Linked DNA regions of Schizosaccharomyces pombe. Changing the gene in region 2 together with the main gene of any one other region gives a genetic interaction. Each region holds a gene or a part of one and is shown on either strand. Other genes may lie near its edges.

Region 1 (3,757 bases), 1.6 Mb from region 2:
TTCAAAATATTTGGTATAAAATATTTACGAGCTGCTAATTTTGCTAAGACCAATTTGCTTTGAGAGTTTTCTGCTTGTAAGGACGACTCACATTCAGCATTTACAATGAGTGACATCGACAAAGAAAGCTTAAAACAAAATCAGAAGCAATGGGAAAATGAAGTTGAGTTGGGCGAAAGCAGAGAAGCTAATCAAGATGATGAGCTTCTGATGAGCCTTGGTTACAAACCAGAATTCACTAGAGAATTCTCTTACGTTAGCATTTTTGGTCAATCGTTTGGATCAATGGGTCTTTGTCCGGCTATGGCGGGTTCACTCATTTTCTCGATGAACTGTGGAGGAGGAGGCATGGTTTGGTCATGGATTATTGGATGTATATGTCTGATTCCAGTAAGTATATCATTGGGCGAACTGGCGTCTTCTATGCCTACTTCTGGAGGTCTTTATTTTTGGATTTTTACCCTAGCATCACCATCGTCAAGAGCATTTCTCTGCTGGGTTTGTGGTTACGTGTCAGTGCTTGGCTACGCTACGATTTATGCTTCAACAGTGTACTCTGCATCATCTATGGTACAGGCACTAGCTGTGATAGGTAGTCCTTCTTATTCACCTACAAAATATGAACAGTACGGAATTTACGCAGCGTTGCTTTTCGTGATTTCTGCCATGACTGCAATTCCCTCTCGTGTTATCGCGAAGGTGAACATCATTAATATTACCTTCCAATTCCTTGTATCCATTATTCTTATTATTGCCCTTGCCGCAGGATCTGACTCTACTACTAGAAATTCTGGAAGTTTTATATTCGGTGATTTTACAAATTATTCTGGATGGTCAAACATGGGATGGGCATTTATACTTTCATTCACTACTCCTGTGTGGGTTGTAAGCGGATTCGAATCTAGCGCCGCTGTTGCTGAAGAATCAACGAATGCTGCCAAAGCAGCTCCCTTTGCTATGATTTCCAGTCTTGGTGTGGCTACCATTCTTGGATGGTGCATCGTTATCACCGTTGTAGCTACTATGGGTCACGATTTTAATGCCATTCTAGGTTCCTCTTTAGGCCAGCCTGTAGCTCAAGTACTGGTTAACAATGTTGGAAATAAGGGAGCTTTAGGAATTTTCTCTTTGCTGGTCATTGCCCTTTGTTTGAACTGCATTTCGTTACTGATTGCTGCATCTAGAGAAGTATTTGCTTTCTGCAGAGACGGCGGGATTCCAGGAAGTAGATACTTACGTCTTTTGACTAAACAGAAAGTTCCCTTAAATGCAATTCTTTTAGTGCTACTCTATAGCCTTTTAGTCGGTCTACTAATTTTGGTTAATGTCACTGCCATTTCTTCTGTGTTTAATTTAGCAATTATTGCTCTTTATATCGCTTATTCCGGCCCTCTTATGTGTCGATTTGTGTACAATAAATTTCAACCTGGTGTTTTCTACGTTGGAAAATGGAGCAAACCAGCAGCCTTATGGTCATTAGTTTGGATGTGGTTTATGATTCTTATGCTTTTGTTTCCTCAATATCAAAAGCCCAACCAAGATGAGATGAATTGGGCTATAGTGGTCCTTGGATTTGTAATGGTCTTTTGCGTGGTGTATTATTATTTGCCAAAGATTGGTGGTAAAACTTTTTTTACAGGTCCAATACCTACTGTTCAACAGGAGAACGAGTACATATCTGGTGTTCCACTAAATGAACTATCTTTAAGCAGTTTACCTTTGCCAAAAGATTTTGACCAGAAGCAAATCACAGAGTAATTTAACCTGAGTGTTATACTTTTCTTAACTCTTCTTTTTGGCAACAGCTACGCTGTTTCATTGTATTTTTACTGTGCTTTTATAATTGTATGTTTATTAACAGTTCTTTTTTATTCTTTTGTTCCTAGTCTTAGTTAAATAGCTTAATATTGTTTTAATGTCTTTTAATGAATTAGTGGCTCTGTTATCATTATCAGTAATATAAGATTATATAAAATTTTTTTTATCTTTCGAGTACGTATACTTATCGTCTTGTCCAGATTTTCTTATCATCACTTCCCTTATAACCTATACTTAAGCACGACTTGAGTAGTGCTAAAATAAATCTGCAGATGTATATGCTTTTTAACAGTAAACTGCACCAAAGGCGGTAATGCTTGCTTACAATTGATACGCATTCAGCTAGAATTTAAGATAGTTGTTTAATTACTCTTTTCTTAACATAAGATGTCTCAAAATAAAGCATGTGATCTTTGCAGGTTGAAGAAGATTAAATGTAGTCGAGGGCAACCAAGATGTCAGACTTGTACTCTTTTTCAAGCGGACTGTCATTATTCTAATCGTGCTCGCCGTAAGAGACTTGTTCAAAGAAGCAAGGAGACGTTTGGGGGAATTACGTTACCCGTGTTTGATTATGCCGCTGGTATTAACGGCAATGAGCCAGAACCGAGTGATCACTCAATTCCAAATCAAGAAAATTTTGCATTAACTACTAATGGAACTATTAGTAAAAACATTGAAAAACCCGAGGATGGTGAAGAATCCGTTCAGAGACGCCTTAAATTGCTTGAAGAAAAAATCGATTTGTTGTTAGATATAGCTACTGAAACTTCAGAATTTAAACGTGAAAATAAGGCTATTGAATTACCTTCCTTGGTTACACAAATTAAAGATGCAGAATCGATTGTTATTAAACACAGACAAGGTAGCCCTGTCGACAATACACCTACTCGGATACTGAATGTGGAAAGCTTGTTCCCTCCACAGTTGCCGGACTGGGAGAAGGCATTCCATGACATTCCCAAGAAGGAAGTAGCCCATGAGTTAGTCACGTCTTACTTTCAGCATGTAAATTGGTGGTGGCCTACCTTCGTATATAATGATTTTATGTATGAGTTCGAACGTCTTTATGCGTTCGGGTTCCATAGCAATAATGCTTGGCTAATTTCTTTTTATTCTATTTTAGCATTAAGCAGCATTAGGAAAAGACTTGGTAACTCAAAGACGCTTGCAGAGTCTTTGTTTTCAACAGCTTGGGTTTTTGTTCAAAAGTCCGACTTTTTTCTTACTCCGAGCATTGACAAAGTTCAGGCTTTAATTGTCATGACACAGTACGCAGCTTACCTGTCTAGCTCTTCTTTATGTCGGACTTTGTGCGGCCAAGCCTGCCTCATGGCCCAACAATTAAACTTACATAGAAAGCAATCCACTGATGTGGAGCCTGAAAAGGCTGAATCGTGGAAAAGGATATTTTGGATGTGTTATATTCTCGATAAAAATATTTCTTTGATTTTTGGAACCCCTTCCGTTTTTAACGACAAGGATATTGATTGTAATTTGCCTGATAGCAAATATGAGCTTTTGTTTGGTGTACAATCTGGTGGTGATTTGATATTTGTTCCTACCGTATCGTTGACAATAATTCAGAGTGAAATACGAAATCGACTATACAGCGTGAAGTCACCTACGCAAATGGCAGCGAGAGAAAAAATCATCATACCAATACATCAAAAATTGAAAGCGTGGGAAGAAAACCTTCCTTCTGAAATAAAAATGTATCATGAAATGTTGCTAAACAACACTTTTTCTCCCACTATATCGCTTAGCGATCGGTTCGAATTTTTAACTTTCGCAGGTATGGAAGTTTACTTTTCTTACTTAAACACTTTAATTATATTACACAGACCTAGCTCGTCGACAGAGAATCGAAGGATTTGTATTAATGCAGCCCGTGAAGCAGTTCAATTGTTAAAAAATAGACTCAACATTGATCTCAGGG
Region 2 (3,757 bases):
TGAAACTTAAACTGACAGATGCAGTATATCAGCAAGAAATGTTGAACGTGGTGCAACGTTGTGTTTCTCATTTTCTAGCCATTAACGAATCCCATTTTACTGATTTTTTCTGGCCGTATTCCCAATTCTATTTTTGTATCCTATCATCTGCAATCATTAAGATGTATCTGGACTTTGAGTTTAATGAAAATTTTAATGCTACGACTTTTGGCCTTTTGTCATCTTTCACAAAGCATTGTGTCTGGCTGAAGTTTCGAAATTTTGATTTGGTTTTCATGGCTTATAAGCGATTAAACGCGTTGCTGATTGAATTAAGCTCAGGTAGACCACTTATTGGCAAACTTCTACAAGAAACCTTTGAACATCGAAAGCGTAACTTGGACGAAACCCTGACATAATGATAGTGTTTAGACCTTTCTAATTCTTTTTTTTTTGTTTGGTTTTAAGAGTTGTTAATTGAATACTTATGAGCCTATACCTACCTAATTAAGGATATCTACACATTATTATTTTTTTAGTCAGCTCTAGTTGCTTATATTTTATAAAGTAGTTTAGGATCCTTGTTAATTTGATTAAAGGGCTTCATTAAAAACATCTGATAGAAAAGTTTAAGTGAGTTAGGAATATTCACGAAGGATGGAAAGATAATATTGAAGTGATAACATCCTATCGTTTTATAATGAGATATTGATTGCAACAATAAGGTTTATCAGATCTGAACATATATTTATTTATATTTTAAAGTTTACCAGGTGGAAGCAAAAAAGATCTCCTGAGCCAGAATCGAACTAGCGACCAACCGGTATCATCGAAATTACAGCCGGGTGTGATAACCAACTACACCATCAGGAGTTAGTTGAGAAGTGGTGTCTAATAGAATATATATAATATATGAAAAATTAAATATCTTGTATCTTAAATTAGCCGGAGTAGATTCAAATAATGATGATAATTAGATCCGTACAAGTTTATTAAAAAGATGAATGAAAGTAATAGTAGGCTTGAATTCCATTTTTTAAGAACAAATATGAAAACTCTTGATGTGGATACTAGAAGTCTAAGCAATACAGGTATATAACAATAATCCATATTCTTAAAATGATCATCAGAAAACGCTTATTCTTACATATTTTTACTTCATTACAATTATTTACCAGTTTTTTTCATCTTTTCATACTCTATAGTTTCTTATCAAATATTCCGTATAAATTATTAGAGTTGACTTGTACCAAGATCATCTGTTCAATTGCTTTGTGCATATATTTTACTTATGTTGTTTATTTTTCTTTCAGAGGAAGAAGCCTTTTGGCTGTGTCGAATGCGTAGATATGTTATACAAACGGTTATAATCCGGGATATGAGAACTAAATGTTTGGTCACTATAGGACAGTTTTTCGTTATAAAAGAAATAAATTTAAGTGCTTAAAGTACTAATTTTATTAATTCATTGCTTTATTTAGGTCATATTGCAATCATTGATAAACTCAAAGCAAAGGTTAACATAGGTTCTCAAAATTTTGAAAACCCACTGTTAAATTCATCAATTGCAATACCATTTGGAGAAGTAATGATTAAACAGTTTCTTAGTATATGCTTTGTTTATTCGTAACTGACGAACATTTCCGTCCCCCACGCCCCCCACTTATATATAGAGATCCATTCAGCGGACCGAAGAACTAACATACTTACCAAATACATAATACACTATAGTCACGAGAATGTCAACTGAAGGAGCTAAGCCATGTAAGAGCGCTGCTTGATTTATTGGCTGTATCAAGTTGCTAACGATTTTTTAGCGGAAATGTTAATTGCGGCTTGCCGCTCGAATAATGTTGACATGCTTGAGGAAGTTGTTCACCAACAGGAAGGAGACGGAGTGAGCTTCATCAATAATGCTCGTGATTCACTTGGAAACGATTGTGTTCATGTCTGTACAAAATATGGTTCCCTAGAGTGCCTTGACTGGCTTTTAGATATATCTGGCGTAAATTTGAATAACCGCTGTCGTATGACAGGGGACACACCTTTACACTTTGCCGTTATGTTTATAAAAAAAGATCAGGAAACTGCTTTACGTATGGGTAAGTGAATTTACAAGCCGAAGTGCTAATCATTGCTTTCGTGTTCTTTGTTATTTTCGGAAGTTATGGTCAAAGTCGAGTTGTGTATTTCTACGTTGTTTTACGAATGATTCAACGTATGCAAGATCGCTTATATTATGTAAAATTCAAACAATTCTTTGATATTACTTTCTCATAATTTTGTACTTTGCTTCCGCTTATTTCACAAACATCGATTTTGCTTCGGGATAGTTTATAGTGTTTGCTTTGTTGAGTGTATTTGTCTAACTATTGTTTCATTATAGTGGAGATGCTTATGGAGGTTGGTGCCGATCCGCTTCTTACCAACAACGATGGTTTTCGACCAATTGACCTTGTTCCAGGAGACTTTCACGATGTCTTTGCTTCTGCATTAGAAGGACCTGCGCCTGCTCTTCAATATTCTGCAGATGTCGTTGCTGACGATGACGATGAAGAAGAAGGATCCGGTGAGTCGGATGAAGAATAGTTCCCCTTTAGATATTCTTGATTCGGCTTCCCTGTTGTTCTTCTTCTGTTTGGATTTTGAGAAATACACGTTTTGTAAGAGATGTGGGTTATATTAACGATAAAATATTTGTCATTCTTGGGGATTATTCGATTTCTTTCTCCTTAATTGCGAAAGTTGTAAGTTATGATTTTGGCTGCTTCTCAGTGTATTGAAATTCCATTGGACGCTTTAGCTTTCCTTTCAGCTGCAATCCAGTATTATGTTTGTTGTTTGTTCATTCTTTCATAGACGCTCCAGAGAACGATGTGTTCTACTCCTTAGATACCTAAATGCGGCTTTAAAATTTCACTGCGCAACTTTTGACAACGTCACAGGCCGTAGGCTGTATGTTAACTTTTAGCCCTTTATAACCTCATCCAATGAATATGCTATAGTTTTTTTAAAACGTTAGCATATTCATTCCGATTATGCTGCTTTTCTCGATACTTTATTGAAAAAAATCGAAATCGTTGTTACAAGTAACACTTTCTTTTGGGTGTCGATAAACAAGTCTGTATTAGAAAATTTGGCATTAATTAGGATTTGGAATTTTTTATGGATTTCTGTAATACCTTAATTGCTTGCAGATTTGTGTCGTATTCTAAAGATTACTTTTTCTTGTTTCTTCTGATATGCTGCTAATGTTAATATTTTCAATTTTCTTTTATTTTTTAGAGAAGCAATATAAAATTTATACACGTTTAAATAATTTCGAGTATCTTATATGAAAGTTTTGTGGGGTACTTTTAACAATCGCTCATATTAGAGGAAAGGAACCATGACGGTTCATCAAAAAGTACTGCATTTATTAAAAAATATTCAATAGGTTTCTGCTTTCTATTAGTAAATCCGCTACACTTATAAAATTGGTACCCGAGTTCGCCGTCCCTAAGACGGTGTTTGTCAGTTTTTAAATTTGAAGGTTCCGTTTGTGTCTCACAACTTACATTACCTAAAATAAATTAAACTCATAGCATGTTAATAAGTCTCAATTTTTTATTCGCTAAAAACACGAGGGTATATTGCTGTAAAAACTTACCACTAAGCAACTAGCACCTCGCCATTACTATATGCAATGTGTGTTAGGGTTCATAAAAAATTGCAAACTTAAGTCGATTGAAGTTATCTTAACTCGCATATAATCGAATATAGCAGTAGGTGCATCAAT

Evidence for each region. Genes that interact genetically often act in the same process or in processes that back each other up.
Region 1: mutations in ank1 (region 2) and toe4 together harm fitness less than expected from each alone (positive genetic interaction), as found in Schizosaccharomyces pombe (one large-scale study listed by BioGRID).

What each region holds. Positions count from the first base shown.
Region 1 is NC_003424.3:118,557-122,313, reverse strand, and holds the start of toe4 (transcription factor), read left to right. Parts: upstream 1-2,080; 5' UTR 2,081-2,205; coding exon 2,206-3,757. Other genes in the region: SPOM_SPAC11D3.08C (amino-acid permease), read left to right, coding at 106-1,758.
Region 2 is NC_003424.3:1,743,559-1,747,315, reverse strand, and holds ank1 (ankyrin repeat-containing protein), read left to right. Parts: upstream 1-1,678; 5' UTR 1,679-1,718; coding exon 1,719-1,743; intron 1,744-1,796; coding exon 1,797-2,081; intron 2,082-2,297; exon of another isoform or gene 2,298-2,365; coding exon 2,366-2,568; 3' UTR 2,569-3,297; downstream 3,298-3,757. Other genes in the region: dal81 (transcription factor), read left to right, coding at 1-398.